Linked DNA regions of Arabidopsis thaliana. The protein of the gene in region 1 interacts with the protein of each later gene in a biochemical or structural test. Each region holds a gene or a part of one and is shown in the gene's direction. Other genes may lie near its edges.

Region 1 (5,499 bases):
TTTGGTTGAAAGTTACTTATCTATGGTTTCTTGATTCCTGCGTTATTATGATGAAGAACCGCCTCGTTGCACTCATCACAAATGTCAAACCTGGAAAGCTAAGAGATGTAATGTCACAAGGACTGGTAATACTCTCTTCTGTCTGCCTCAATCCAGCTCATCAGCTATCAAAATATTTCACACTCTCACATTTGCTCATTTTCTGTGTTTTTGATTTCTTTGCTGCAGGTTCTTTGTGCTTCAAGTGAAGATCACTCGGTGGTAGAGCCGTTGCTACCACCTGCTGGTGCTAAACCAGGAGAGCGTGTTTCATTTTCAGGGTACATAGTTTTAACAATATAACATCGAACCTCTTTGATTGCTTTATTTACATGTTTCCCCTCCAGCCATTAAACTCATATATGCTCTTTTCTTTTTATTTTATTGTTGTTCTTGTTTATCTCAAACTCAAGAACCCTTTATCGAAATGTTTATATAGGATTGAAGGAAAGCCAGAAGATGTACTGAACCCAAAAAAGAAGCAACTAGAGAAGATAACACCGGTATGTGTTTTTTGCCCTTTATTAGGTTCCAGACTTAAACAAACCGAAGATGCGAGTACTGTGTTTGCATTATTATACGTAAACATTCAATCTCACGAGGACTTCGGTTAATCACATGCATTTGCAGGGTCTCTACACTGATGAAAATGGCGTAGCCACATACAAAGGCATACAATTCATGACCTCGGCTGGACCTTGCACTTCCAGCATCCCCAAGGCGACCATCAAGTAGTAAACTCAGTTGATACTTCTCTCCTCTACTCTAGCGTTTTTCTTTGATATTCGCAAACTCAGTTGGAAAAAGAAAAGATGTTCTTTTTGTCACAATTCGAATTAATCTAAAAACTTTCTTCTTATTAGCTTTTTGACAAACATCATTGTTTCAATTTCCCTTTTGAGAACTCTCTGCTACTAGATACTTAGTTCCATTTTCTTTGTTCACTCCTTTCGTTCAAGCTGTGCAAGTCCACCATTGGATTGCAACGTATTACCTACAAATATCCACTTAGCTACTTATGGGGTTTTTTCAATCAGATAAACCAAGCCATTCACTCTGGATTGAACTATCAAACCAATTGTGTTCAAATAAACTTGCAAATTACTTCAATTAGAAGAAACAACCTCCTTTTGTTTTGATTCGACGTAGATGATCTTACAAGGAAGGATGATAAAGAATCTTAGACCTGGCCCATGGGGATCTCTAAAAGAGATTGGTGGTCCATTTGTGACAAAAAGTCATTACCTGTTTCCATTTATTCCAAGGATTTGAACCCGAAAAATAATAATGAAAAAGTTGATATCTAAAGAATTATCTTATCAGCTTACAAGATCCTGAAACAGATCCGTACGACTGTCACCGGACACATATGTTTCTTTATTTAGTTTCACAAAGAATCAGTCCTCCAAAACACACAACTTCTTTCTTATATTAAACACACACAAAATCTTTATTCTTGTCCCAAAAAACAATTATGATCTTTTTTGAGGTTCTTTGGCTTTTATTATACGATTTTTCTTCAAATCATATCAGATTGTTACCGAATAAATCTTTTTCATATCATATTTTCAGTTCTATGAATCTACTACAATTTTTTAATTTTAAAGTGGTCCAAAAGAAAAGAAAAAAAGAAACCCCACACGATTCGAAGAACATGTCCTAACAAGTAACACAATACAAAAAGACAAGTATATGCAACTTTAAATCTATAACGACTGGTACTGAAACTAAAACCCCTAAAAATAAGAGATCACGAAATATCCGTGATATTCTTTGATGCAATCTCTTCCCCATTGCTCTCTGTTTTTATTTACTTTTAAAAATTATTCTGCAGAATTATATATAGTTGGGAAATCATAATGGAAAATTCTTCACCCACCTAAAAAATCAAAGAAACCATCATAAATACCATCACCAGAGATTCACATGATTCATGCATACACACTTCTGAGTCTGTCACTTTCTTCTTCATTGTTTGTGTTTTGTCTTTTTGATTTATTTTTGTTGAAGATGGAGAACTAAAAGCAATGTCTGCAAGGTCTTTATATTAATGCTAGAGTCAGTCTCGCTTATTATCAAGTTGTTTTCTTTATCAGTTACTTGACATTTAAGGAACAAAGGAGATCATGAACAGTTCAGGAGGTTCTTGTTCGTCTTTAATGGATGTGGTGGCTTATGATCATCATCTTCATCATGGTCATGATGAAGAGCTTCATGTTTTAGCTGTAGATGATAATCTTATTGACCGTAAACTCGTTGAGAGGTTGCTCAAGATCTCTTGTTGCAAAGGTTCAATCATTTTACCTTTCATGTTTTATAATCAATCATTACTTTATGCAATCTTTGTCTCTAAAATGTGAATTTTTGCAGTGACAACAGCAGAGAATGCGCTTAGAGCATTGGAGTATTTGGGTTTGGGAGATCAAAATCAGCATATTGATGCATTGACCTGTAACGTAAGCAAAAAAAAAACATATAAAATCTTCAAGATCTATGGATTTTTTTCCTTAGGACATATTTGATATTAGGTTTATATATGTGTGGATTTTCTAGGTTATGAAGGTGAGTCTAATCATCACCGATTACTGTATGCCTGGAATGACAGGTTTTGAGCTACTCAAGAAAGTGAAGGTAATTATATAACAGCTTCTTGGAACCAATATCCAGAGATTTATATTAACCTAAAAATCTTCTGTGTGTTTCTTTAGCAGGAGTCATCAAATCTGAGAGAGGTTCCTGTTGTGATAATGTCTTCAGAGAATATTCCTACTCGCATAAACAAGTAAGAACAAATTGAGATCAGATTAAGAACTTGTTTCTGTGTTTCTTATAGTGTAAGTAATTAGTAAAGATCATCAATCTTAATGTTCTGTTTTGGTCTTTTGAAAGCAGATGTTTAGCGAGTGGAGCTCAAATGTTTATGCAGAAGCCTTTGAAGCTTGCTGATGTTGAGAAGCTTAAATGTCATCTCATGAACTGCAGAAGCTAACCATGAGAGATTTATAATGTTAGCCCTAACCATGAAACGTTTTCATTGTGTCTTGATTCCTTATTTGATTATTTTACATGTTTTTCTTGAAATCAAGAAATGTTTTCACATGCCCTATAGTAATCTTTATACACAAAAGGAATCATAAAAAGTGGTTGTGGTGATGAAGATGATGACGATGTCTTCTCTCTTCCAATCCTAAACATCGAATAAATGGATAACATGAGAGGAAGAAACATCTCTTTATTCCTCTAACCATTGAAAATGGAGGCCACACGCAACAACAACAACATTGATGAGTCTCTTCTATCGTTGTTTCTTTCTCTTTTCTTCTTCCTCTTCTCTTATCTCTTTTGCGGCCATTGTTGCACAATATTGACATCGTTTCTGCGTGAAAAGAAGAGTAAGAATCTTGTGCAGCAAGAAAGGTCTAGAATTTCAATTTAGAACAGAAAAAATTAATACGAGAGAAAAAAAAGAGCAAAGGATCTTAACTGAATCACGATGAGATTCATATAAGAGTACAATCCTGTTTTTCTTCTCTTACCTCGGAAAATTCACCGGAATCTTATGAATGGGCTCGAAAATCTTTGGCAAGGAAGATTAATGGTGAGAGAAGATGATGAATCTCTTTCTTCTCCGAGAGACAGAGAGAGAGAGTCGAAAGTCGAGACGCAGAGGAGAAATTGTCTCCTCCGGAGACTTGTACGTCTCCATGGAAGCTTTCAACATCATAACACGTGTCATTTCATATGTGTCTCCGTTCTCATTACTTTAGATCGGACCAAACCTACCAATCTTTTTTATGTTTTTTATTTTATATGTTTTGTTTATGTGCATGATGTTATTATTTTTCTTTCTTTTTCTGATTTGTGTATGTACCGCACGATTTCTCGTAGTATACACATGATTTGTATTTGAGACTGAAATAAAACCATGCTATACGTAGATTTGGTACTACACGTTATTTAATTTCAAATCATATTTCTATCATTCTGTCCAAAAGAGGTGGCAATTAGCGGAGCTAATTGAGTTTGATACGTATCCAATTTGGATAATGAATCTTGGAATTCAATGTTCACCAAAATCTAACCTAACTTAAACTTGTTTTGAAAGTTTGGACTTGAGTCTAGTGGTAGTGAGGGTGTTTAATTTTGAATAAACTAAACTAATCTAATTTGAACCAAACAATTCTTATCTACAAACCGAATAACCCATAATTTGAGCCTAATTTTTAAGTACAGATAGTGAATTTAAAATGGTGACACGATACGATATGATATTTTAATGGTGATACAAAGACGACACAAACATAAAAATCATTAAAACTATTAAATAAACTATTTTTGCTTGAGAATTAAACATATATATCTAACTAAAATTGAATTCAAATGCGAAATCAAAACTATATAAAGTCATCCGCAAAAGATTGGTTCTCTACTACATTAAAACCAAAAACCCGGCGCTTGAATTAAAGAGATTCTTAAACTTTTGGTCTTCAACATTCAGCTTATCCGGCGCTTGTATTAAAGAGATTCAACAACTTTGTTCTGCTTTTCTCTGGAGTGGGCCTGATTTAAATCCTTCTGAAGCTAATTTGGCGTTTATTTGCAGCACCAACGTCTCTGTGGAGTAAGTGGATTCATGCCTATTTAATTCGGAAAAAACGTTTTGGACAGTCAAGGGAAATTCATCTCAAGGTTCTTGGATGTGGAGGAAACTCTTAAAGCTTAGAGACTTGGCAAAGGATTTCTATCAGGTTGAAATAAAAAGTGGCAGAGGGACATCCTTTTGGTATGATACATGGTCCTCTTTGGGGAACTTATTTGATACTTTTGGAGATCGAGGGTGCATTGATTTGGGTATTACAAAAGAAGCCACAGTGGGTGACGTTTTGGCCTCTCAGAGAGGTAGACGACATAGAGTGGAGACTTTAAATAGAGTGGAAGAGGTCATCAGGGAAACAAGGGTGAGGAGGAAGGTTGAAGAGGAAGATTTGATTCTATGGAAATGGAAGACAGGTTTTAAACACAACTTCTCCTCAAATGAAACTTGGAAAATGCTGAGAGTTGAAAAACCAATCTGCAGATGGGCGAAAGAGATTTGGTTCTCGGAAGCTACACCGAAGTTCTTTTTCATCACTTGGCTTGCAATTCATGATAGACTAACAACGGGTGCAAGAATGAGATCATGGAACACACAAGTGGATACTACCTGCAAATTCTGTGCTGAACCGGTAGAGACAAGAAATCACCTCTTCTTTCAGTGCCCTTATTCAACACAAGTGTGGGAGAAGCTCATGAAAGGCCTACTTCAAGGTCATTACACTTCTTCTTGGGACCGCATTGTTACGCTCCTCACAAGTTCGTCTCTTGGGAGGAAACATCTTCTACTGCTGAGATATACATTTCAAATAAAGGTACACACCATATGGAGAGAAAGGAATAATCGCCGACATGGTGAGGAGAACC
Region 2 (8,647 bases), on another chromosome or scaffold:
TGAAGCAGATCGATGCAATTACTCGAGGAGACGAATCTCCCCACATCCTCCTTGGAGGCTTGAATTCTCTTGATGGCTCTGATTATTCCATAGCAAGATGGAACCACATCGTAAAGGTACAATTTCGTTAGATCAGTCATTATTTAGTTGGTCTCATATATAACCAAAAACCATGTATTGTAAGAACAGTATTACGAGGATTCTGGAAAGCCGACGCCTAGAGTTGAAGTGATGAGGTTTCTCAAGGGAAAAGGATACTTGGATTCAAAAGAATTTGCAGGAGAATGTGAGCCTGTAGTCATTATTGCCAAAGGACAAAGTTAGTTTCTCCATTTTCTCTTAACTTGCAAAGTTCAATGTAGTAATAGTACTAATATGTGAAATTCTTGATCTGATGCAGATGTACAAGGAACATGCAAGTACGGGACACGGGTCGATTACATTCTGGCATCTCCAGAGTCACCTTACGAATTTGTTCCTGGCTCGTACTCAGTTGTTTCTTCCAAAGGTACTTCTGATCATCATATAGTCAAAGTCGATTTAGTTATAACCAAAGAGCGATCTCGAGGTAACTTCAAACATTCACGCAAGAAAGCAAAGCAGAAGATCTTTCAGATAAAAGCTAATTTGATGTCGAAAGATACATGGAAACTAGGAAATCTGATGTCTTCATAAAGTTTGGACACTGATTAAGAAACAACACTTGTGTATATGATAACGTTTATTCCCATCATATTAAGATGCAATACAACATTTAGTCTACATATTAATAGCTATGCTTACAAAGAACTAAATAAAAGTTTAAGTAAACAATGATATTCTTGTACAATCTACAACAAATCTTGACAAATAATTTAGAAACAACTGAGGTAACCGATCTTAGGCAGAGACCGAGGCTTTCTTGGTCTCCTCTTCAGCACCTACCTCCTCAGCAATTGGCGCGTACCCGATTCCACTTCGTTTGCTCGGAAACAAAGCAAAGATAGTGGCTGAGGCAACACCCACGGCAGGAGGCAAAGCCATGACAAGTGTCTTCTGTGTTTCCCTGAACCGAGGATAAAAGCAGCTCGCGGTATTAGCGTCAAGCAGCACCAGTGTACCAAACACAGCCAGCACGAAACCCGCATGAACGAAATCCGCTATCCTAAGCTTGTACTTGGATAAATCCACGGATCCTGGCTCCGCGTAAGTCCAAAGACCTTTCTTGGTGACTATACCGAACTTTCTTGATCCGTCAACGCCTTTGAAACTATCGGTAAAGCATGAGAAGACGCAGGAAAAGCTGCAAAGGGCGACAAGAATGCTCGACATGACCTTATTACCTGTGGAGCATTCACCGTCGTTAGTGAGGACAGGGTTAAGTAGAAGGTAGATAAAGAGTGTTCCCGTTGGGAGAAGCTTTATAAGACTCTCTAGGCCTGTGAGGGATTTGTTTGTGTTTGCCATGTTTTCTGATGAAGCTGGAGAGTTTGTTTTGGGTATGAGCAAAGAAGTTTCGGACATGAGCTTGAACCTTAGAGTTAGATGTATAAACTATAAAGTATGTTCTTGGCTTGATACGTGTGTCGGTATTTATAAAACAATTTTGAGATGATAAATCATTGATCCGGTCCGAGATGTTGGATTTAACACCGTAGAAGAATTGGTAATAACATTGACTAAGTCAAACTATTTTAAATTTTGTCTATATGTCTACACACGAAGACTCAATAATTTCTAAAACGGTTGATTATAATTTCTTCGATAAGTTATTGAGTTTTGGAACTAAATGCGAAGAAATTTCTAAGGCGTCGAATAAAGCACACGTTTGGTGATGAATCTTGACTGAATCTAAAGAGAAGTTTCTCTTATGGATCCGTAAAAATTTTAAGACTATACAACGACTTTGAATGTCTTTTGAATGTGTTGTTTTTGTGTTTATATGTTAAAATGCGGTTAGTTTTCTTTTATCAAACATAATTTGTAAACGTGATAACACAAAATTGATAGAGAATATGGACTTGTGTTTTAAAATCTACGTTTACATGCATTTGTATTTTACATGATCTAAAAGTGTGTTTATCGTATGTGAAACCATTACGTCAACATGGATTGTTTTTACGGTATTGTGTTACAAATGTAAATACACCATTTTAATATCTAAACTCACTTTTTTCTTCTTTTTGTTTGCGGTTGAACCAACCAAGCCCATACACGAGATAAAATTGACAACTAATTTATTTTACTTGTGTAAATTGAACTTAACCTGAAATTGGCAGTGAACCAACAAATCGACTAACTCGTTCTGCATGTTTACCTTTTATTTGTTTTTAGTAAATAATATCGTATTTGGCTGCGTCTACAGCGACTTGTATTCTAGCTTTAAACCTTTTTAAAAACTTGATATGGCTATTGGCTATAAGGATTTTCTTATAATAAATTGCTTGGAGATATGGGTGAGTGCAAACTCTTTCTTGACTTTTTACGTATAAATTTGTTAAAAACTAAGGAAGCACAGTTTAACTTTTATACGGAGATAATATAATGTAAGATATCAAAATTCATAATAAGATTTGAAAGGTCCATAATTAGTGATGGAACCTTCTTACGATGGACCCATTATCAAGTAAGAACCACTAATAATCTTTGGTTAGTTAGTATATATAATACGTTTTATGCCATTCGTTAAACGCATCCTACGTTCTTGCATGTCCCATGTCCATTCATCATGTGAGACGTGTCAAAGCGTTGATGTTTACCCAAATTTGCAGAAATTAATACAGTGAAACTAATTTACTATTTTTATTTTGGCTTGACGTGTTGAAATTGTTATTGAAAATACGAATTGTCTAAGGAAAAAATTGTCATTTTACTGTGCATGAGGAAATAGATAAGAATGGTGTGTATGAGTATGATTGGGAAAGTATTTGGAGTGACGAAAATACCAGGGATATGCAAATGAAGAAATAGTGTGGTTGAAAAAGATGAGACTGGTGTGCTGATCGTTGTAGTTGAAAATGTTACGTAAAAATATATTGTATGTAGTACTCTATGAAAGATTGAAAGGATATGAGCTATTGCATATATATTGTTAGGTTGTTTTGAAATATTGTTAGTTGAAAGAAATTTATAGAGCAAGTGACAAACGAGTAAATAGAAAAGCTTTGAGAAATCACGAAAAAACATTTGAATTGTGATAAGTGGTTGATTATAATGAAAAATATTGGTATAACACAAAATATGATAAATCCTAGTTTAATAAGAATTCCACCAAATGATTGGACGAGATATATGACTAAAGAAATTATAAGCTGCATTTAGTTTTGGTTTTGAACAACATTACAAAGTGTTAGGCGGCATTTGAGTTCTCAAAGTCACAATTTCCTTGATAAACCCATTACGTTACGATATTTGTGATACATCAATATAAAATAAACTAACCAATCAATGTATTATTATAATAAAAGAATTGCTAGTTGGACAAAAACAATGAGGATCAAATCAAAATTATATTACAAATAAAGTTTCCCTAGAGATGCTATTTGAAAGATACATTGAATGCGAGCTGTGCATATTAGTATATGCTTTTCATCAGTAGTACAGTAATTTAAATATTCGAACCAATAAAATGTTTTAAAATCTTAAGAAAAAAAAAGACAAATCAAGAAGTATCAAATGCTCTTCTTATGTCTTTATCACATTTGCAAAAAAAACGAGGAAAAAAAGGCGCGAATGGTTAGACAGTTGACAGCACGACCAACTTCCATTCTTTAAGAGTTTCTTTCTTTTTGGATTCTTTTCTCACATCCAAACCAAAATTGTAATAATAAAATACAAACTATTTAAATTTAAAAAATAGGGTTTTTTGATACGGAGGATTTTGTTCTCATCTTTTAAGTACTGAGGATTTTGTTGGACATTTTCTTACCTCCATTATTGGCAGAGAGAAACAAAGAAATAAAGAACAAAAGCAAATAACAGAGAATATGGATTTGGTTCAGAAGCAGAAGAGTTTGCAAGATTACACCAAATCACTCTTCTTAGAAGTAAGTTTTTCACATTTGAAAAGATCAAATAATCAGAAAACTTGTTTTAACGTTCACAACTTTTTCTTTCTGGTTTTAGGACTTGTAGTAAAAATGGTTTTAGGACTTATAGTAAAAATGTGTTAGGCTTTTGTAGTTTCTTTGGTAAGATAATCATGAGTTTAGGTTATGTAAAATTAGTTTCTGATTATGGAAAGTCTTTTGTTTTGGGTAAATACAAAAAAGGGGATTTTGGACAGCCAGTTCTTGCAGCTGCAACAACTACAAGATGAAAGCAATCCAGATTTTGTTTCACAAGTTGTCACACTCTTCTTCCAAGACTCTGATAGGATTCTCAATGATCTCTCACTTTCCCTGTAATCTTCTTTACACATTCTCTCTTTAATCTTTTTTTTTTTGTTCTTTTCCAAAACTTGTGTTTCTCACTGTTTTTTTATGCTTCGGGCAGAGATCAACAAGTTGTAGACTTTAAAAAAGTTGATCCCCATGTTCATCAACTCAAAGGTAGCAGCTCCAGGTAACAACAAAAACAAAACTGGCTATTTCTGATTTTAATCCAATGATAATGACATTTTCTTGATCTTGAAATGTGTAACAATATATATTGCCAAAAAATAACAGTATAGGAGCACAGAGAGTTAAGAATGCTTGTGTTGTCTTCCGCAGCTTCTGCGAGCAGCAAAATGTCGAAGCGTGAGTTTAATCGATATGTTCGTTGGTCCATTCGTTATTTCTTTGTTTTAAGATCTGATTAGGAAAATACATCGTTGAAAAATTTCAGATGTCATAGATGTTTGCAACAAGTGAAGCAAGAGTATTATCTTGTGAAAAACAGATTAGAGACTCTGTTCAAGGTAAAAAGTCAAAGAGACTTTTTTTTTTTTTATAAAACCACCCACATAACTCTTATCTAGTTATACAATATTTTGATCAACATTTGAAACTTATCTGATTCAATTTTGGTTTTGATGATCGAATCTATGCAGCTGGAGCAACAGATTGTAGCTTCTGGTGGAATGATCCCGGCCGTCGAACTCGGATTTTGAGTGAATTTCATAAACATCTCTGTCCATTGTTGTTTCATTTTGGACTCTCTCTTCTTCCTCTCTTTATGTGACTATCAAAAAAAGGTTCTTATGTGAACTTCTTTCTTTGTGCCATTGGAAGAGTGAGACATGCTAAAACGTTTCTTAATCCACATCTAAATCCCACATATGTAAAATAAGATCTCAAGCAAACATATAGTCATGAGTCATGACTACAATTATATAGAGTTTGATCAAGATAATGTACGCATCAAGGTAATGTGATCCGGACAACTTGGTTAGGTATTAGGTTGTTGTTTTACTGTAACTGTTAGAAGTAGTTAGAAGTCTTGTAGTCCTTGACCAAAGAACACAGATGGGCCATATGAATTTTAGTAGCCCAAGATGATAACAAAGGGCCCGTACTAAACATCCATGATGATCTTGGAAATCTTTTTTTTATTACGATTGCACTTCGACGAATCTCTAAAGATTTTCAGACATTTATACAATGCAATTAAGAAAAAAATAAAGTTATACTATGTGAGTGCACGTTAAATAATGTAGCTAAAAATAAAATAATGACAAAATTCTTAATTACTTACAGATCCGTGACCTGTCGTCGACTATATATGGCTCCAATTTATAACCTCATGTTCGATTTCTAGACTTCTAGTTTACCACTTATAACTTTGTATTGCTCTATACTCGTATTAATTAGTGCTCCATCTTTTTTATTTGAACTTTTTTGGGTAAAGAATGAGCGTTCCCTTCATCGTTTGTTCATAACTTTACTAGTTCCTTTAATTGTACCTTCTGTTTAATTTTGTTTTCAAGTGACCTTTTTGTCTTTTCAATAATAATTAAGATTTCCAGTTCGTAATTTCGTATGTATAATGAACCATACCATTAATTATGCAATATGACAAAAATATGATGTTTATATGTTCTTCCACCTTGTTATTATCGATTACAAATTTAAATAAGGATCATAGGGTAAATAACACTTTTTTTTTTTTGGTTATAATCAATATCTTATTCCTATTTTATTGTTTCAAACATGCATAGTATCCAAAGGGAAGCATGTTTTGGTGAAAATATATGCATAGAAGAAGAAGACTAATCAGTAATCAAGACAAGAGATAGGTTGAATAATTCCATTAAGTTTTCTCCTATCTGTAGTCTAAATCACTAGTTACAACTTTCAACACACATGAAACACATTATACATGCATCATTATTCATTAATGTGTTAGGTTACGCTACGTATATTTTGTGTAGATTTGAAAGTACAGATATGTAATGTAATTATCATACAAACATCTCTTAATTAAAGTCTCCCACAAAGCCACAATATGGTGTAAGTGATTCCCGTTGGATTAGTACATTAGTCAATACACTACTTTTTTGACGGCTACTGATTTAAGTTTCTATTTGAACTATCCCCAATAATATAAATATCACGTCGATGTGATTGAGACGAGCAATAGAGCCGTGCTTAACTACTTTTATAGTGAAAATTAAATAAGGCTTATGTATCCAAATACTTGTGGTCAACTTTTGTGGTCTGAATTATTTATCATTTTTCTGTCACTTAAATTAAATCATATACCTTGAATTATACCAACATCTAACTTGGGAATAAGAGGTGTGTATCTTGCGGACAAATGAATTTAGACCGTTGTTAAAGAGCGTAAACTTTAATAAGACGTTAACATGTGTGTGAACAGAAAGCTATTCTCTAAAATTTTGATATTAAATTTGTACAAAATACATTTCTACGTGGATTTAAGGTGTTAAAAGAGTTCGATTAGTAAGCTTTACATTTTATTGATACTACCACTATATATACGTTGGAATGTCATATCAAACACAGATTAACAAATTCTCTCAAATGGCTCTCTCCGTATTTGCCTTTCCTTCTTACATAAATAGGAATCCTTCACTAAAATATCTTAAACCTTCTTCTATGTCTTCTACAAAATATGTAAGAGTTTTTTTCTTTTTTCCCTCTTTTACTTATTGATTACTATATGAAGTTGCATTATTATCAAAGTTCTGCAGATTATCCGTGAGAAACTATATACGTACACTAGTTCTTGTTAAGTTTGTGAAAGTTATTGAATTAATTGAAAATAACATAACATCTTTTTTTGGTTCAGTCAAAAGTAAGAGCAACAACATTTTCAGAGAAAGGTGAATATTATTCAAACAGACCACCAACTCCTTTATTGGACACAATCAACCATCCAATGCACATGAAAAATCTCTCCATCAAAGTATAAATCCTAATCCAAGTCTTGAACCTTGTTTTGTGTCAAATCAAGGATGTGATGATGAAAAAGTGTTCTGCTATGTAGGAACTCAAAGTTCTTTCGGACGAGTTGAGATCTGATGTTATTTTTAATGTTTCGAAAACTGGAGGACACTTGGGTTCGAATCTTGGTGTTGTTGAGCTCACCGTGGCCCTTCATTACATCTTCAATACTCCTCATGATAAGATCCTTTGGGATGTTGGTCATCAGGTTGGTTATCTCATTGCAAGCATAAGTTTTCCTTTAGCTACATGTACAAGTGTTTTTAACTTGTTTTGTTTTTGTCTTTTTGACAAGTCTTATCCTCACAAGATTCTAACGGGAAGAAGAGGAAAGATGAAGACAATAAGGCAGACCAATGGCCTCTCCGGCTACACCAAGCGAAGAGAGAGTGAGCATGACTCTTTTGGCACCGGGCACAGTTCGACCACACTATCTGCAGGCTTAGGTCATACTTGTTATTTTCTTGTGTCACAAGAAAACAAGAAAAATCACTTTCCTAACATGCATGCGGAAATTGTGAATCAGGGATGGCTGTAGGGAGGGATTTGAAGGGGATGAACAACAGCGTGGTTTCGGTTATAGGCGATGGTGCTATGACAGCTGGACAAGCTTATGAAGCAATGAACAATGCTGGCTACTTACACTCCAACATGATTGTGATTCTCAACGACAACAAACAAGTATCTTTGCCTACTGCTAACTTGGATGGACCAACTCAACCTGTTGGAGCTCTGAGCTGTGCTCTTAGTAGGCTGCAATCTAATTGTGGAATGATTAGAGAGACTAGTTCAACACTGTTTGAAGAACTTGGTTTTCACTATGTTGGTCCAGTTGATGGACACAACATAGATGATCTGGTCTCCATTCTTGAAACATTAAAGAGCACCAAAACCATAGGACCGGTTCTTATCCATGTCGTGACTGAGAAAGGTCGTGGATATCCTTACGCAGAGAGAGCTGATGACAAGTATCATGGTAAAATTAATTTTCATATCTTCTTGACTATACTAAGCACTCTTGGATTGATCCATATTTCTCATTCTTGTCAGGAGTTTTAAAATTTGATCCAGAAACAGGTAAACAGTTCAAAAATATTTCCAAGACTCAGTCTTACACTTCCTGTTTTGTGGAGGCCTTGATTGCAGAAGCAGAGGCAGACAAAGATATTGTTGCCATTCATGCAGCCATGGGAGGTGGAACCATGTTGAATCTCTTCGAAAGCCGCTTTCCTACAAGGTGTTTCGATGTCGGCATAGCAGAACAACATGCAGTTACCTTC
Region 3 (8,303 bases), on another chromosome or scaffold:
AATTAATTCCAAAATTATATTTCGGTTAATTTGAATCAAATTACAAAAAATAAAAAAAGGAGAATGAGCTGAAAACAAAGCCCAAACATAGTATCTCTCCCTTTTAAAAGAGTGGTTAGAGATACATTTTCTTAGGAACCTCATGCAAAAGATATTATTGGAAACCTTATGCAAAAAAGGTAACAACAGATACAATTTTTTCATCAACAAAAATATACATTGATATAAGGTAATAATATTTCCCACACATATTTTTTGGATTATTGAATCAATTCTTGATTTAGATTTCCTTACACTACTCTAAAGTCTTATAAACTTTAAAGCATAATGTAATAAAACTAACGAAACACAATACAAAATGGGAAAGATATCAGTAAAAAGATATACACATATAAAACATTTTTTTGATCGATACACATTAAATTTTTGTAAAAGAAAAACGCTATTTATAGCAATACATTAACGTCGACATAAAAATCTTTGATTATAAGAAAAAAAGAAAAGAAAAAAAAAAACTTTGATTATATACACGTCTCTCTCTCTCTCTCACAGAAAAAAATGAAAAAAGAAGCATTAGTTCCCAAACTCACATCTGAATTGCCTCCGTTTACACTAAAAGACCATCCGAAGTTTGTCGTCTTAGTGGTCATCTTGTTCTGTATCGCTTTCTTCATTGCTATGACCTTTTGCGGGTATGAACAAGATAAAGAAAAAGAAAACTATGTCCCAAATATTACAATACCTTCTATGGATTTCACGGTCCTTAATATAACCGAGACTCATCTTAGTGTAAAATGGGATTTATTGTTAAGGATCCCTAGAGATCTTCCTGGTTGGTATATGTGTCTCAAAGGAGATTTTCAGCTTTCCATAATATACAGAGGTGTTACCATTGCTACTTCATCCATAGAGAGGTTAAACTTTTTTTCTATTCTATTGTCTATATTTTAGAATTTTTAATAATTTATTCAGCTTATTTGTTCACATATTTTTGTGTTATTCCTTATCATGATTGATCAGTTACAGTCTGATACCACGGTGGGCTCAGCTGATTAGGGTTTCATCGATTGCTTCTGAAGGAGACATGGAGGGTGTGATTATAAAAGATATTATGAAGGATATCAAGGAAAAAGGTGAAATAAGGTTCCGATCGCGATTGCTTCTTCCGGATTGTAGATATGGGACAAGTGGAAAGATGAACTATGCGTGTGATGAAGCCATGTTAAGGTTCGAGCCTGGCTCTCAAAGGAATGCAACTTTGTTTGGAGACCACCCTATTTGCCGCTATCTTCGCTAAGTACTTTTCATCAATAGTTTGTTCTTTAGTTTGTCAAATGATGGACTTTCTAAATTCTTTTGCGTTTTGATATGGACTTGCTTTACCTAAATTAAATTCCTATAAATTAATTAATGGAATATATTTCTTCTAGATGTTAAGTGTTGAACATTCTTAATTCTCTCTCTTTACGAACAATAGATATGTTCTAGAGCAATATCATGGAGTTGTACGTGGTGTTATGATGATTTCTACACGAGGCATTTATCCTTGACGGACAAGTTGCAATTATTTTCCTCCATGATATTCAATTTTTGGGATGGTATTTTCATTCTCCACAAATGTTGCATCTATGAGATCAATATGCATGCAAGATCTCTAATTAATGGTGTGGTGCATGGTCTGCCCTCCCAAAGGTGGATCTTTATCTTTTGTGTTGTGATAGTAAATTTGTATATATATATCTAGTGTTTAAAAATTTGCTAAGCATGGGGTGATCCAATACCTACCTATTAAAAACGTTTAATCCGAACATAGCTACACACGGACCGAATGTTCTTTTTTGGAGTTTTTTATAATTTTATTAAGATTTTGGGACATTTAGATCTCTTTAAATTAATATTTACTAAATTAAAGAGAGTAGTTAAGATCCTTACCAATAAACGAGAGAGATGTTAAGATCCGTCTCATCAAAAAAAGAGAAAGATTTTAAGATCCAAGTCAGGTCACTTTTTTCTTTGGTATTAATCTCACAACTCAATTCTCAACTCAACTCAGGTCACCAAGATTTAACACTTATAATTTTACACTTTGTTTTCTTAATCATTATATACTATCCTAAGCATATATATGAATCTTTCACCATAAGTTATACCATTTATATATGCTAATATTTTCTAAATAAACCTTACAAATTTGTTGGCGCTAACAACCATTGTTTAATTTTGCTTGGGGTGGCTCTAGTTATATTATATAGACCTTAATTTTGCAGGAGGTATGTAACACCTCATATTGCTTCAGCTTAGCAATTCATATATAGCCAAGACGTGTGGACTTCTCACCCAAAGTTTCCTAGTTTAAATGTGAATGCCTCTAAACAAAAGTTCTTGCTTTCGATGTCTAAACTTAGATGTGTTACCGAATAAAGCCAGATTTACCTCCTTTGACCTTACTATATAGCCAGCTCGCTGCCTCCGCAACTCTCAAAATGACACTCGCGATCATATTAGTTGTTTCCAACAAATTGAAAAATAAAACATTTCACTCAAACAAAAAAAGATCTAAACAGCCGAAAAAACAAGTCCAATATCAAAATCTGTTATAGCAAAAAAAAAGAAGGTAGAGTATTTTGGTAAGAAAGAACTCTAAATGCCTCTACGATATAATATTAATAAGTATGTTACCAAACAACTTAATATTAGTGCAAAAAACCCTTTAGTTTGTCATAAACAGCAAAATCTGCCACTATAAGTTGTTTTCATGAGGTCAAGTTGATGAGAGTATATGATTCTCTGAAGCTCATGTCAAAAGAATAGAACCAATGTTCTTCAGTCTTGTCCACACGGTAATGCTTCAAATGAACTTGTCTATAGAGAATCTTCCAGCGTGAGAGATTCTTAGTGTTGGTGGATTGACATAACAGAAACATACCTAACATTGGAAAATGCTAAAAACTTTGAGTGAATGAATGAATGTATCAATCATGAATTAGAGATTCCATTTTTTATGGCCTAAATCAATGTTTCTCACTTGTAAAAGTTGTCTTTTTGACAACTAATCATATTCTAATTCTTTTTCTCTGCCCTTTATGGAAAAGCTTTGTGACTATTTCTTTATTTATTTCTGTCCAAATTTGATGATCTGTAAGAATCTCTTTATTGGGATTGCAATTTCAAACAAACTTTACATCTTCTTCTTCTCTCTGCTTTTGCCTTCACGACGAGTAGAGAGAGCCATGGACACACTCATTGCTCAGTTACAGAGACGATTTTGTGATTTCACCATTAGTCTCTATCACCAGGTAAATTTTAGCATCTCTCCTTAGAGATTCAGGATAAAAGTGATTAACTTTCTTGTGAAGAGAACTTAGAAATTGTGGTTGAGTTTTAAAGTCTCCTTTTTAGAGATGGCTCTCCACAGTCTTTAGGGTTCTTATTGAAGCTTTTAAATTGGAAACTGGGGATTTAAGAGTTAGGTTTACTGATTGTGAAATGGGTTATTGTCTCCATTTTCAAAGTCGTCTCCTTTCAAAGTGATTACTTTTCTGGTGAAGCAAACTTTGAATTTGTGGTTACGTTTTTAGGGTTCTTATTGAAGCTTGTATATGGCAATTGGGGATTTTGGGAATTGGGTTTAGGGTCTGTGAAATGGGTTATTGTCTCTTTTTCAAAGTTGTCTTCTTTTTAGGGATGACTACTCTCTACTGTTTTTAGGGTACTTGGAGCTTGTATTTGGAATTGGGAATTTTGTGAAATGGGTTTCTGAGATTCTTTGTGTTGGTTTTGTAAAGGGGTTTTTGGATGATCAATTCACAGAATTGAAAAAGCTGCAAGATGAATGTAGTCCTGATTTTGTGGCTGAGGTTGTTACTCTCTTCTTTGAAGACTGTGAGAAGCTTATCAGTAATATGGCTAGAGCTTTGTAAGTTTACTTTTCTTTTACGAGTTTAATCATCAAAAGCTAGCAGATATGGTTTAATGATTGGTTCATATGTATACTCAGAGATCAGACAGGAAATGTAGATTTCAAACTGGTAGGTTCTAGTGTTCATCAACTCAAAGGTAGTAGCTCAAGGTATGTCACATTTGATCTGTATAGTCTCGGTCCTTTAGTCTAATCTCGGATCTAGTCTCAGTGAAGAGCTCCTTTCTTGTTGTTCTATGAAGTGTTGGTGCCAAGAGAGTCAAAGGTCTTTGTGTTACCCTCAAGGAGTGTTGCGACTCTCAGAACTATGAAGGGTAAGCTTTTGTTTTCCGGTTCTTCTTTAAGAGAATCTCAAATTTCTGCTATGTTCATTTGATTGTTGAAACTAATTTGGGAAACAATCTCTGTTATAGGTGTGTGAGATGTTTGCAGCAAGTGGATATTGAGTACAAGACATTAAAAGCAAAGCTTCAAGATCTGTTCAATGTGAGTGAAAAGCTACGTGAATTGTGTCGGTTTTTTGCTTTCGAATTTCGTGAATAAGTCTTGCATTGTTTTGTTGCAGCTTGAGCAACAGATTGTCCAAGCTGGTGGTAGAATCCCTCAAGTGGATATATAAACAATAGACCTATCGACAACAGAACAGCAAGATGATGATCATCCAGTTGCATTCTTCAGACGAGTACTACTCGAATTTGTTGCTTCGAAAAAGAAAAAAAACTCTTGAGAATGTGTGGAAAAGAGAGGTGATTGTTGTTCATAGATCAATACTATGTATCTTTTGTATCATCATCTCTTGAATCTTGGTACTGATCTTATCTGAATAGTATGAATTTGCATCTCATAAGACCATATGAACAAGAGTGAGTTATGTATTCAAAAACAGGAATATTTCCAGACACAGAAGCATCATAAGAAGCAGAAAATTCAAGGAGAGCTACACAAGACAACGCGCAAAAGAATAGACTCTGAAAGCAAAAAGCTTCACGAAGACATTGGCAAAAGGAACAAACCAAGAACAAACACTCACAAGTGTCCCCTGTGAAAGCTGAAACCTAAAGTTAAACCCATCAGCTAATGTTAAGAAAGAAAACGTCACGCAGTTCTCACTGTGAAATACAAAACGTCAACGCAGTCTCACTGTCAAATACAAACGTCACGCAGTTCTTACTGTAAAATAAGAAAACGTCAAGCATTTCTCACTGTAAAATACAAACGTCACGCAGTTTGGTTAGATATGTCGTTGCTTTTAAAAAATTGCGACCCAATAGATTTTTCAACAGTCGTTTTTTTCTTTAAATGAGTGAAGTTTTGCGCAGAGCCAACAACGCACTTAGTAGCGTCAAGCAATACCAATCTCTCTTGAATCACTTTGCAGCTACTCAATCAATTTCAAAAACCAAAGCTTTACACTGCCACGTCATCACCGGCGGTCGAGTTTCCGGCCACATTCTCTCGACTCTCTCCGTAACTTATGCGTTATGTGGTCACATCACTTATGCACGGAAGCTGTTCGAGGAAATGCCTCAAAGCTCTTTGCTTTCTTATAACATTGTTATTAGAATGTACGTGCGTGAAGGATTGTATCACGATGCGATTAGCGTGTTTATTAGGATGGTTAGTGAGGGGGTTAAGTGTGTTCCGGATGGTTATACATACCCTTTTGTTGCTAAAGCTGCTGGAGAATTGAAATCGATGAAATTGGGGTTGGTTGTTCATGGGAGGATCTTGAGGAGTTGGTTTGGTAGGGATAAGTATGTGCAGAACGCGTTGTTAGCGATGTATATGAACTTTGGGAAGGTTGAAATGGCGAGGGATGTGTTTGATGTGATGAAGAACCGTGATGTGATTTCGTGGAACACGATGATTAGTGGGTATTATAGGAATGGTTATATGAATGATGCGTTAATGATGTTTGATTGGATGGTTAATGAAAGTGTTGATCTTGACCATGCTACGATTGTTTCTATGTTGCCTGTTTGTGGTCACTTGAAGGATTTGGAGATGGGGAGGAATGTTCATAAGTTGGTGGAAGAGAAGCGGTTAGGGGATAAAATTGAGGTGAAGAATGCGTTGGTGAATATGTACTTGAAATGTGGTCGTATGGATGAAGCGAGATTTGTTTTTGACAGGATGGAACGAAGGGATGTGATCACGTGGACTTGTATGATTAACGGATATACTGAAGATGGAGATGTGGAAAACGCTTTAGAGTTGTGTAGATTGATGCAGTTTGAAGGCGTAAGACCTAATGCTGTGACTATAGCTTCTCTTGTTTCGGTGTGTGGTGATGCTTTGAAGGTGAATGATGGTAAATGTTTACACGGTTGGGCGGTGAGGCAACAGGTTTATTCCGATATCATTATAGAAACATCTTTGATCAGCATGTATGCTAAATGCAAACGTGTAGACCTCTGCTTTAGAGTATTTTCGGGGGCTTCGAAATACCATACCGGTCCTTGGAGTGCAATTATCGCTGGTTGTGTACAGAATGAACTTGTGAGTGATGCGTTAGGTCTATTCAAACGGATGCGACGGGAAGATGTGGAGCCCAATATTGCTACATTAAACAGTCTCCTTCCAGCATATGCAGCTTTGGCAGATTTGCGTCAAGCAATGAATATCCATTGCTACCTAACCAAAACCGGGTTTATGTCAAGCCTTGATGCTGCTACAGGGTTGGTTCATGTTTACTCAAAGTGTGGAACATTAGAATCTGCTCACAAGATATTCAATGGAATCCAGGAAAAACACAAGAGCAAAGATGTAGTTCTATGGGGTGCGTTAATATCCGGCTACGGGATGCACGGAGATGGTCATAATGCGTTGCAAGTTTTCATGGAAATGGTTCGATCTGGTGTAACGCCAAACGAAATCACATTTACATCTGCCTTGAATGCTTGCAGTCATTCGGGTTTGGTTGAAGAAGGCTTGACATTATTCAGGTTCATGCTTGAACATTACAAAACGTTAGCCAGATCAAACCATTACACTTGCATTGTTGATCTCCTTGGTCGAGCAGGTCGGTTAGACGAAGCTTACAATCTCATCACAACAATTCCATTTGAACCAACGTCAACCGTTTGGGGTGCGTTGCTTGCTGCTTGTGTCACACATGAGAATGTCCAGCTTGGAGAAATGGCAGCAAACAAGTTGTTCGAGCTGGAACCAGAGAACACGGGCAACTATGTGTTGTTGGCAAACATCTATGCGGCTTTAGGACGATGGAAAGATATGGAGAAGGTGAGAAGCATGATGGAGAATGTTGGATTGAGAAAGAAACCAGGTCATAGCACAATCGAGATCAGAAGTAATTCAGTTGATACAAGATGAGAGATGTGGAAGATATATCTAGTTTTTTTGTTGGGTTCAAATGATCATAAATGTAGCAGAAATATATGCGTCTATTACAATTTGCAAGTGTTGTTAATACATATACATGCACAGAATCAACAAATGGTTTGTAGATGCACACCAATGGTAAATTGAGAATCTGAAATCGTCAAACCTTGCACAACTTGAGCTTATGATACACTTAACATCAACTCTTTGCAAAGTGATGATTCCCAAAGTTTAGCAGCAACAATTCACCAGTACATAAGAAACAGAGAGACGACATCATAACCTCTGACCAAGCTTCAAGCATTTTCTGCAACGGAAAACGCAAGGTCGGCAATTTATAGTCACTGAAACTCGGAGGCCCCTTCAGAATCAGACAAAGGTAAGAGTGTACAAACTCCAAGCATATGCCCATTGAGACAAACATAATACTCAATGCTATCTTCATAAGCCCCCAATCTACAGCTAGCACTCTGTGGTATCATTTTCGCCTGAAGCATACTCCACAGCTTCGCTTTGCAATACGGACAAACTTCCGTAGGATGAAATGGTGTCCCTTTCTTAATAAGCAACTTCCTCACCTTTGACATAGAAAACGATTTGAAAATCCCACGGAAGAATCCCAAATCACCATCTTCTCCTTGATCCAAATGTTCACAAGGATCAGAAACATAGAGAATATCATCAGTTCGACATTGTGGAGGAAGAAAGCTCCTTCCCGATGTTCTAGAGAAGCGGGTTCTGTGAACAAAATGACCAGAGATTTGAACATCATTAAAGAGTCCACCTTTGCTTGAACCAGAGCAGTAAATCAAAAGTTTCCCTAGTGCTCTCCAACTCCCATCAACACTATGGCTACCACTAGATTGAAGGTCACTCATCATCTTAGGCGCTCTAGCTCTACAGAATTCTTTCCACAATAACCGCTTAGCGAGATCATCAAACCATTTACAAACACAAGATAGAGTGGCAATCACATTAGGGTTCCAGTTTAGATGCTGAACCATAAGAAACAATACTTCTTCGCTAAGATGTCCTTTCGTGC
Region 4 (8,419 bases), on another chromosome or scaffold:
ATTCTTTCTCATAATTAAAGTAAAAGAATATAATCTCTATCATCATAAACCAAAAAAAAACTAAAGAGAAATGAATCCTAGCTAGCTAGGTGTTTGGTATGGAAAGGGAAACGTTACCCGCAAACCGCGGGCAAGTCCTGTAACTTGGGAGGATCGGGGGCCATGTAACAGGCGAGCGTATCTCTCCAATTTGCAGCCTTATTACAAGTGTGGAGATCGATGTTGCTGTAGTAAAGCACATCTCTAGTGTGATCCCTAGAGTAGAACCGTTTCTTCACTTCCGGGTCCTGCTCGTGAAACCTGCGAATCCCTTCTTTCATCCTCTCCATCACCTCCACCGAGATCCCATGATTCACCACCTGGAAGAATCCCCATCTCTCCGCAGCGTCTCCAATCTTCTCCACCACGCTCCGCCGCGATATCAAATCCATGCTTCCTCCTTTCAGATCCACCGTGGGGATCGTCAGCTGCTGCGAAGGTGGTGCTGTTTGTTTCAGGCTTGTTAGAGTATCCGGAGGTGTATGGAACATGGCTGGAATCTCTTTGATTCCCGAAGCCACAAGCCCTTTCACGCCGGTTTTTGTCTCGTCGAAAGCTTTTGCTTGACTTGAACGATCACTTGACTCCATCTTGCTTCTTCTTTCTTTTTTTTGCAATGCACAGATTTGCATAAGTGCTATTATTCCACATCTTAATGCACATCTTAATACAATTAAATAACAAAAGGAATCGTGACCCATATTAAGATAACAAATAAAGAAATGAATCGCCAAAAACAAGGTCCATTAGTTTATTTCAATTCCTATATTAAAATTTGGATTCTTAATTGGTCGTTTGTCTTTACAAGTAAGAATAGCATCCGGTTTGAACTTTTGTTAATTAACTACACACTTACCATATTAAATCTCATCGCCATTGTTGCTCGCCTAGCTCTCGAAACGCCACTAATTAGCAAAACAACATTTAAAGATATCTCGTTTGGAGGACTTTGGACAATCGTTCCGCTACTGTTCATTTTCTCTCTCTTTGAAGTTTTTTCCAGTTTTTACAGATCTAGTTTTTTCTGCCTCTGTTCTTCATCTTAGGTTATGAATTTGCAAGACAAAGCAGGAGTAAGGCAAGCTATCTTCTCCGGCATTGGAGTGGTGTGGTTTTTCCGGTAAGCGTGGCAGCGGTGGCCCTTTCTCGGTGGATGAGAGGCTTCTCTTCCGTTTCTTCCTGGTTATGGACGTCGGTGGAGATCGGTGAAGTCTTTCTTGGTTCAACCACTTGGTTAGACGCTGTAGCTGTGGCGGAAGACGCTGTGGATTGGTGGGTTTTCAGTGCGTGTTTGATGGTTAACAAACTGGATCTGAGATGGCTGTTGCGGGTTCCGGTTGCTGAAGGGTTGTCTGAGCCATCACCCTTCTTTAGCCTCCGTTTTTTGTCTCCATCAATCCGGATTGAAGGTTGCTTTGCTTTTGGAAAATTTTCAGATCTAAGGTTTTGGAGGTCAGAGGCTTGGAAATGCGTGGTCGTTTTGCGAGGTTGGGGACTCGACCAAATTGGGTGGCGGAGTGTCGGAAACTGGGTTTTTTCCGTTAGGTTTGTTGCAGGTCCGGCCAGCTCATTGGTAAGAGATTTGCGGCAGGACTCGTATACTTCGGCCAATGATCTCGTTCCGGTGGTTGTGTTGCAAAGTAGTGGGCCTTGTATACGACGGTACTAATAGATCTATTTGCTGCCTCCGTTCCACTGCCCAAATCCACCTCTGGTTCTCTTTTTCCGGTGACCGGATTTTTCCTGTTTTGTAACTGTGGACGATTGTAATTCCGGGCCTAAGCCCAATTGGGACTGGACCTTTTTTTTTAAAAAAAAAAAAAAAAGATATCTCGTTTGTGGAGAACGCATGCTAGCAACTTCCCTATCTATAAAATCAGATTTGCACCCCACAAACTAAAATATTATTTACGTACTTGATTAATTCCTACAATATAGTCATTTACAAAAATAACCCTCCATTTGATATTTAAGTCAAAATCAGTCAACGGAACGTGGAATAAATTATAACTTTCGACGCTCCGATCAGATTCATCATCATCTCTCTCTGTGTCGCTCCGATTTTGAATTTGGAATCTCTTAGTTAAGTTGGAAGTTTGTTCTTTGGTCTTTTCGCCTAGTTGTTGTTGGATCTGTTTTAAATTAAGCCAAAAACCTCCGATTAGATCGATCTCGGAACCGTCGAAATACAGTTCACCGTATCCGTTGTTTGTTTTTGGTATATGTATGTTTGAGAAGCTCTTACCATCTTTGTTTACAAGTCTGGTTCTTGGTAAACTTTAGCTATGAACACCATCGTCGTTGCTCAGTTGCAGAGACAATTTCAAGACTACATCGTTTCTCTTTATCAACAGGTTCGTTCCTAACCAAACTTTTCTTACTTTGGCTGGATTCTCACTTTTGGGCTTAGATAAGCTTAAGGTGCAGTTATGTGTGAATTTGAATTTTTTTATTTTTTTTATAAAGATGATATAATATGTTGTTGTTTTGAAGGGATTTCTGGATAATCAGTTCTCAGAGTTGAGAAAGTTGCAAGATGAAGGAACCCCTGATTTTGTAGCTGAAGTTGTCTCTCTATTCTTCGACGACTGTTCCAAGCTTATTAATACCATGTCTATATCCCTGTAAGCTTTGCTTACTCTCTTAGGCTTCTCTTTTTTATCTAACATGGGACTTTGTCTCTAATCCTCCTTCATATTCATTTTTGAGGGTGTAAATTAGCTTCATATATTCATGACAGCATTTTATGAGTTTATTATAAACATTAGGGAGCGGCCAGATAATGTGGATTTCAAACAGGTGGATTCAGGTGTTCATCAACTCAAGGGTAGTAGCTCCAGGTTTGTCACAGTGAACACTGCTAAATTTGCTTTTCTAGTTTTAAGTGACCAAACTACATTGATTTTAATGGCTCAGTCTCTGCTTTGTACTCAGTGTCGGTGCAAGGAGGGTGAAAAATGTGTGCATATCTTTCAAGGAATGTTGCGATGTTCAGAACCGTGAAGGGTGAGTATATTTTTTAGCTTGTTGATGCAAAATGTTATTGGATCTCTAAACTTTTTTATTATATGAGAAGCTATTCTTCTAATTCACACACAAATTGTGATAATGATATCTGGCACAGGTGTCTAAGGTGTTTACAGCAGGTGGATTATGAATATAAGATGTTAAAGACTAAACTTCAGGATCTCTTTAATGTGAGTTTTAAACTTTGCGAAAACCTACTTGTTCTGCTTGTGTATTCTTTTTACTGAGCCTTTTGCTACTTCTCATTCTTCTGTTTCTGTTATGTTATGTTGTTGCAGTTAGAGAAACAGATCCTCCAAGCTGGAGGTACAATTCCTCAAGTGGATATAAATTAGACCGATGCGTTTCTCGATTATGCAAATGTTCAAGGCTGATGACACAAATGAAACCGAAACTCCTCTGTAGTTTTGTTGTTGTTGTTATGTTTTATATTGATTAATGAGGTTCAGCAACACTGTCCCTGGCCAGATATCGTGTCTTGTTTAGACTCTTAATTGAGTTCTAAGAGTAAAAATTGAATTATTAGTCTATAAATAGACATGTCCATATGTATTCCTGTCACAATGCAACCACCATTTGGAGCCTTTGTTCTGACCATCATGACTTAGAATTCTCAGCATTATTCTGAATCTGATATACTCTATTGGATTCATGATTTTGATTTGAGCCGTAAAGCATGCGGGTACTAGTTAGCACTTTAGACGATTTCATTATGTGTGGATTAATCAAGAATGATTTGTTTGAATTATGGATAACACGATTCCATGGTCTCTTTATTTTGTTAACGGTATTCCATGGTCTCTTTTATCAACATTATTGTTATAGGGCTTATAAGACATGATTGTGACAATAGATTGAGAAAGGATTGGGCATGTCTTGTTAGGTATGTATTTAATATAATGTCCGAATTACCTCAAACTAGGAATGAAATAAAAAGAAAATGTCGAAGAATTATCAATAGATTGTTTATAAGTGGAATAAAAAATGTGAAGCCATGTGTCTATGGTAATCACTAGGTGGAGCATTTTTTTTTTTTTAAAGGAAGAGTATGTGAAGTGAAAGAGACTAATGAAACATAAATTGAAGGCATGGAGGCGTGTAATGTAACAAATAATAACAAAGCTTTTCTCCTCTATCCTTCATTTTATCATATCCATCTTCATCATTTTTATTTCTCTCAACCAATGTTTTTAAAATAATTTTGTAATATCCTTATAACATGGTTGGTTTTAGGGTTCTTCATGAAACCGATTCAAAAGTCAAAGCAAATCTTATATCGGTTACTATGTGATCTTACCTTCTATGGAGAGAGGATTCGACGACACACCAAACAAACACAAGAGTCCCAAAACGAGTGCGTTAATTGTCTCGTAGTGCGGACCATCTTAGGGTTTAGACCTTTTTAATTTTGTTCATTATGATTGGAACGTATTGCTTTGGCTTTCTTGCAAAGCCAAGTTTTCTTTTCATAAATCTAATTTGGTCTACTCATCACTACCTAGTCTCTCTTAGAATGAATACTAAATCATTTTTATTATGCATGGTTGGTATATGTGAATCAGTAGCGAATCATTATTTGAAACGTATTTAGATGTACGCTATGAGTTAATTATTTTCAGAAAACGGTAGTTACACTTATGAAACTAATTAATGCACATCAAAAGTAGAGACAATCTGCTAATATACGTACACAAGGCAAAAGATTGTACAGTAGAGGTATATATCGAGCTATTTTGTTGCTTGCGTATGTAGTGAAACAAATGTTAAAATTGGGTAAGCGTTATAAATGTTGACCTGACCATCTTATGCATGTGTTGTTGCTAAAACTTGTGGTCCAAGCTCCTATTCCTTTTTTTAACATACAAACAACAAGTTTTGTGAAAAACCAAATGAGTAAAAACTAGAGAAATATAACATGTCACTGTTTTTACCATATTTACTCTTTTTTTTTCCTTTTGCTTTTAAACTTAAAGTCAATCTCTTATGCGTTGTCCAACTTTTTTACCAATTATCTTTCTTTACGCCCACGGAATTGAAGGACCATTTGCCAGCTACCTTTGTAAAATTTAGACAGTTGGAACAACCTTACAAATCTTTTTTTTTCTCTTTCACCTATCTAACTGTCATAGCTAGCTTTTACATCTTTCTCATATTCATTTTATTCATTCGTAAAATATTAAAACTTTCTTTCATATATAAATATAGATTAATACAGTTATATATTTTTTGGTCAATGAAGTAAGTTAGTAATTAGTATAATGGCTAAATGTAAACGAGTGAAAACAATTGACAAAAACATTTGTTGATTTATGCAAGAGTCGGTATACGAAACATTTCTTCGATAGATGTGTTAATCTATAACTTCATCAAAGAAGCCCTATGGCGAATCAAACATTTAGTACTAACTAGGGACTATAACATTTAACTAATCAAAAGTAGTTGTGAAATAAACTTTTGGTCGCAAGATTTGTTGGAAGTGGATATAGTACAGTAAAGCTTAGTTAGATATAGACTAGGACACACTTCAAAGTTGATATTGACTAAAACTTTCATCAGTTACATTGACCATTACTTAACCATCTATCATAAGCTAAACTTCCTACGATATGCGTTATGATTTGTGTTAAATATCAGGAAAATTCTTTATTTTATTTTTTCATCAACTTCAATCAGGAAAATGAAATTGTAACGCTGATTTTGTGTTTTAAAATCGAGCAAAATATATCTGGAAAAAATAATAAAGTACAATTATAAAACAAAGGTAGTAGCTAGTACAATAGAGTAATTATCGAACCAGAAAGCTGACGTGTCACGGAAATCTCGCTCGTCCAAGCTGTCACTCAAAACAGTAAAACTGAAACGCACACAAAACTCACGTGACGAGAAGACACACTTTTTATCGTCTCTCTCACCGAACCTAATCTGTTTCTTTACGAACCTAAGGCTCGGACAGCCGTTTTACCATATTACCTGTTCCCCATAAAAACCACAGCTAAAAGAAAAGAAGGCACCTTTTTTCATGTTTTTACTGACACAATCCAAATGTATAACCTTTCTTAATTTAGCATTCTAATTAGTGTTTTTGTCCGACACATTAAATTTTCATATCATCGTCTTCCACCACAAGCCACCAAAAGAAACAAACAAAAAGAGCGGAACAAAGAGGAAAATGAAAGTATAGAGAATTTACCAAGTATCTTTGTATGTATGTTAAACTGTATATTAGATTAACTTACCATGTAGATTGTAGAGAATATGTATTCTTCTTATTAATTATGATGTGAGTACAAAGAGAAAGATAATCTAGAGTTTAGATTACAAACTTGATTGAGAAGTAACTTAACATATATACTTATCTTCGTATATTCTTCTCTGTACAAAGACTGACACTATTAGACAAAATAAAATATAAAAAAAGGAAACAAAAAATAGAGGAAGAAGAAAGAAGAAACAGACGACGACGTTGATTCATTTCTTGGGTTTTTGGCTTCCTTCTCAAGCCATTTTGTTTACTCTCTTTCTCTTCTCTCGATAAACCTTTCTTTTCTTCCTTTTGCTAATCGTTTATTGATAATCCTCCATTAAAGCTCTCACGGAAGCTCCCACGAGAACACCTTCTTTCCACCACATAAACCAGAGACTTTCCCTCTCACGAGAAATCAGAAAACAAAACCCATTTTCTCTACTTTACAGCTCGTCTCTGTTCTTCCCTCTGTGTATATATATAGTCTCTGTTTCTTGAACCTGTAACGGCTAAGTCTGAAGAAGAAGAAGAAGAAGATGATGATGAGATTTACCAAGTTGGTTTGGTGTTTGATGTTCCTGCTTCGATTCGGCTTCTTCACGGAGGCGATTCTCGACCCAGTTGATTTCTTGGCTCTGCAAGCTATTCGTAAATCCCTCGATGACTTGCCAGGTTCCAAGTTCTTCGAGTCTTGGGATTTCACTTCTGATCCATGCGGCTTCGCTGGCGTCTACTGCAACGGAGATAAAGTAATCTCTCTCAATCTCGGCGATCCTAGAGCCGGTTCACCCGGTTTATCGGGTCGGATCGACCCAGCAATAGGCAAACTCTCTGCACTCACTGAGCTCTCCATTGTCCCCGGCAGAATCATGGGTGCGTTACCGGCAACAATCTCTCAGCTAAAAGACCTTCGTTTTCTCGCAATCAGCCGGAATTTCATCTCCGGCGAGATTCCGGCGAGTCTCGGCGAGGTTCGTGGTCTCAGAACACTGGATTTAAGCTATAATCAATTAACCGGAACTATCTCTCCGTCAATCGGATCGTTACCGGAGCTCTCCAATTTGATTCTCTGCCACAACCACTTAACCGGATCAATACCACCGTTTCTCTCACAAACTCTAACCCGAATCGATCTCAAACGCAACAGCCTCACCGGCTCAATCTCACCGGCGTCTCTCCCTCCGTCGCTTCAATACCTCTCACTCGCTTGGAACCAGTTAACCGGATCGGTATACCATGTTTTACTCCGGTTGAACCAGCTTAACTACCTTGATCTCAGCTTAAACCGGTTCACCGGTACAATCCCCGCTCGAGTCTTCGCCTTCCCGATCACAAATCTTCAGTTACAACGCAATTTCTTCTTCGGTTTAATTCAGCCGGCGAATCAAGTGACGATCTCCACCGTCGATCTCAGCTACAATCGATTCTCCGGTGGGATATCTCCGCTTCTCTCAAGCGTTGAGAATCTCTACTTAAACAGCAATCGTTTCACCGGTGAAGTCCCGGCGAGTTTCGTGGAGAGGTTGTTATCGGCGAACATACAGACTCTGTATCTACAGCATAATTTCTTGACGGGAATACAGATTAGCCCGGCGGCGGAAATCCCGGTGAGCAGCTCGCTGTGTCTGCAGTATAACTGTATGGTGCCGCCGTTACAAACCCCGTGTCCGCTAAAGGCCGGCCCACAAAAGACTAGGCCCACTACACAATGCACCGAGTGGCGAGGGTAGTTTGGTAAATTACGCTTTCTTATATAATACTATGTTTTTATTTTTTTGGTTAAAGTTTTTGAGGAACAGAGTGTTTCATCGTGTTAAAAAAAAACTTTTAAAGGAAAAAACGATTCGTTTATTCGTTGGTGAGAATGAAGATTAGAGTTTTGGTGTGTACAAGTGTCTTTGGAATAAGGATTATATTGATGTGAGGATGAAGATTGTCCACTATCCATCGTTTCTGCGTATTTAAAATTGGAAAATGATGGTTTTGTTTTATTGAAGAGTGTTCAAAATGGTTTCATGAATGATCTTGTTTACCAAAATTTGTTTTCAGAAAAGTAATAACTTAAAATTCGTTTTAATAGAAAAAAAGGAGTGGGAGATGACAAATGAG

Evidence for each region.
Region 2: the proteins of RR16 (region 1) and AHP1 form a complex in vitro, tested with the Arabidopsis thaliana proteins (one study listed by BioGRID).
Region 3: the proteins of RR16 (region 1) and AHP3 form a complex in vitro, tested with the Arabidopsis thaliana proteins (one study listed by BioGRID).
Region 4: the proteins of RR16 (region 1) and AHP5 form a complex in vitro, tested with the Arabidopsis thaliana proteins (one study listed by BioGRID).

What each region holds. Positions count from the first base shown.
Region 1 is NC_003071.7:16,968,093-16,973,591, forward strand, and holds RR16 (response regulator 16), read left to right. Parts: upstream 1-1,761; 5' UTR 1,762-2,165; coding exon 2,166-2,328; intron 2,329-2,409; coding exon 2,410-2,495; intron 2,496-2,592; coding exon 2,593-2,670; intron 2,671-2,747; coding exon 2,748-2,821; intron 2,822-2,931; coding exon 2,932-3,028; 3' UTR 3,029-3,142; downstream 3,143-5,499. Other genes in the region: AT2G40660 (Nucleic acid-binding, OB-fold-like protein), read left to right, coding at 57-125, 229-320, 479-542, 670-774. UniProt on the Arabidopsis thaliana protein: Functions as a response regulator involved in His-to-Asp phosphorelay signal transduction system. Phosphorylation of the Asp residue in the receiver domain activates the ability of the protein to promote the transcription of target genes.
Region 2 is NC_003074.8:7,574,856-7,583,502, reverse strand, and holds AHP1 (histidine-containing phosphotransmitter 1), read left to right. Parts: upstream 1-3,713; 5' UTR 3,714-3,965; coding exon 3,966-4,025; intron 4,026-4,250; coding exon 4,251-4,381; intron 4,382-4,473; coding exon 4,474-4,542; intron 4,543-4,646; coding exon 4,647-4,718; intron 4,719-4,806; coding exon 4,807-4,879; intron 4,880-5,011; coding exon 5,012-5,071; 3' UTR 5,072-5,791; downstream 5,792-8,647. Other genes in the region: AT3G21530 (DNAse I-like superfamily protein), read left to right, coding at 1-116, 190-319, 401-675; DMP1 (transmembrane protein, putative (DUF679 domain membrane protein 1)), read right to left, coding at 880-1,503; DXPS1 (1-deoxy-D-xylulose 5-phosphate synthase 1), read left to right, coding at 6,909-7,037, 7,213-7,329, 7,411-7,575, 7,663-7,813, 7,894-8,343, 8,418-8,647. UniProt on the Arabidopsis thaliana protein: Functions as a two-component phosphorelay mediators between cytokinin sensor histidine kinases and response regulator (B-type ARRs). Plays an important role in propagating cytokinin signal transduction through the multistep His-to-Asp phosphorelay.
Region 3 is NC_003076.8:15,745,711-15,754,013, forward strand, and holds AHP3 (histidine-containing phosphotransmitter 3), read left to right. Parts: upstream 1-3,020; 5' UTR 3,021-3,083; coding exon 3,084-3,296; intron 3,297-3,785; coding exon 3,786-3,916; intron 3,917-3,997; coding exon 3,998-4,069; intron 4,070-4,161; coding exon 4,162-4,233; intron 4,234-4,332; coding exon 4,333-4,405; intron 4,406-4,484; coding exon 4,485-4,538; 3' UTR 4,539-5,181; downstream 5,182-8,303. Other genes in the region: AT5G39330 (transmembrane protein, putative (DUF1163)), read left to right, coding at 559-914, 1,021-1,297; AT5G39350 (Tetratricopeptide repeat (TPR)-like superfamily protein), read left to right, coding at 5,219-7,252; EDL2 (EID1-like 2), read right to left, coding at 7,603-8,303.
Region 4 is NC_003070.9:845,835-854,253, forward strand, and holds AHP5 (histidine-containing phosphotransfer factor 5), read left to right. Parts: upstream 1-1,958; 5' UTR 1,959-2,324; coding exon 2,325-2,393; intron 2,394-2,532; coding exon 2,533-2,663; intron 2,664-2,807; coding exon 2,808-2,879; intron 2,880-2,973; coding exon 2,974-3,045; intron 3,046-3,163; coding exon 3,164-3,236; coding exon of another isoform or gene 3,237-3,293; exon of another isoform or gene 3,294-3,344; coding exon 3,345-3,401; 3' UTR 3,402-3,787; downstream 3,788-8,419. Other genes in the region: 2A6 (2-oxoglutarate (2OG) and Fe(II)-dependent oxygenase superfamily protein), read right to left, coding at 118-740; AT1G03440 (Leucine-rich repeat (LRR) family protein), read left to right, coding at 6,847-8,040. UniProt on the Arabidopsis thaliana protein: Functions as a two-component phosphorelay mediator between cytokinin sensor histidine kinases and response regulators (B-type ARRs). Plays an important role in propagating cytokinin signal transduction through the multistep His-to-Asp phosphorelay.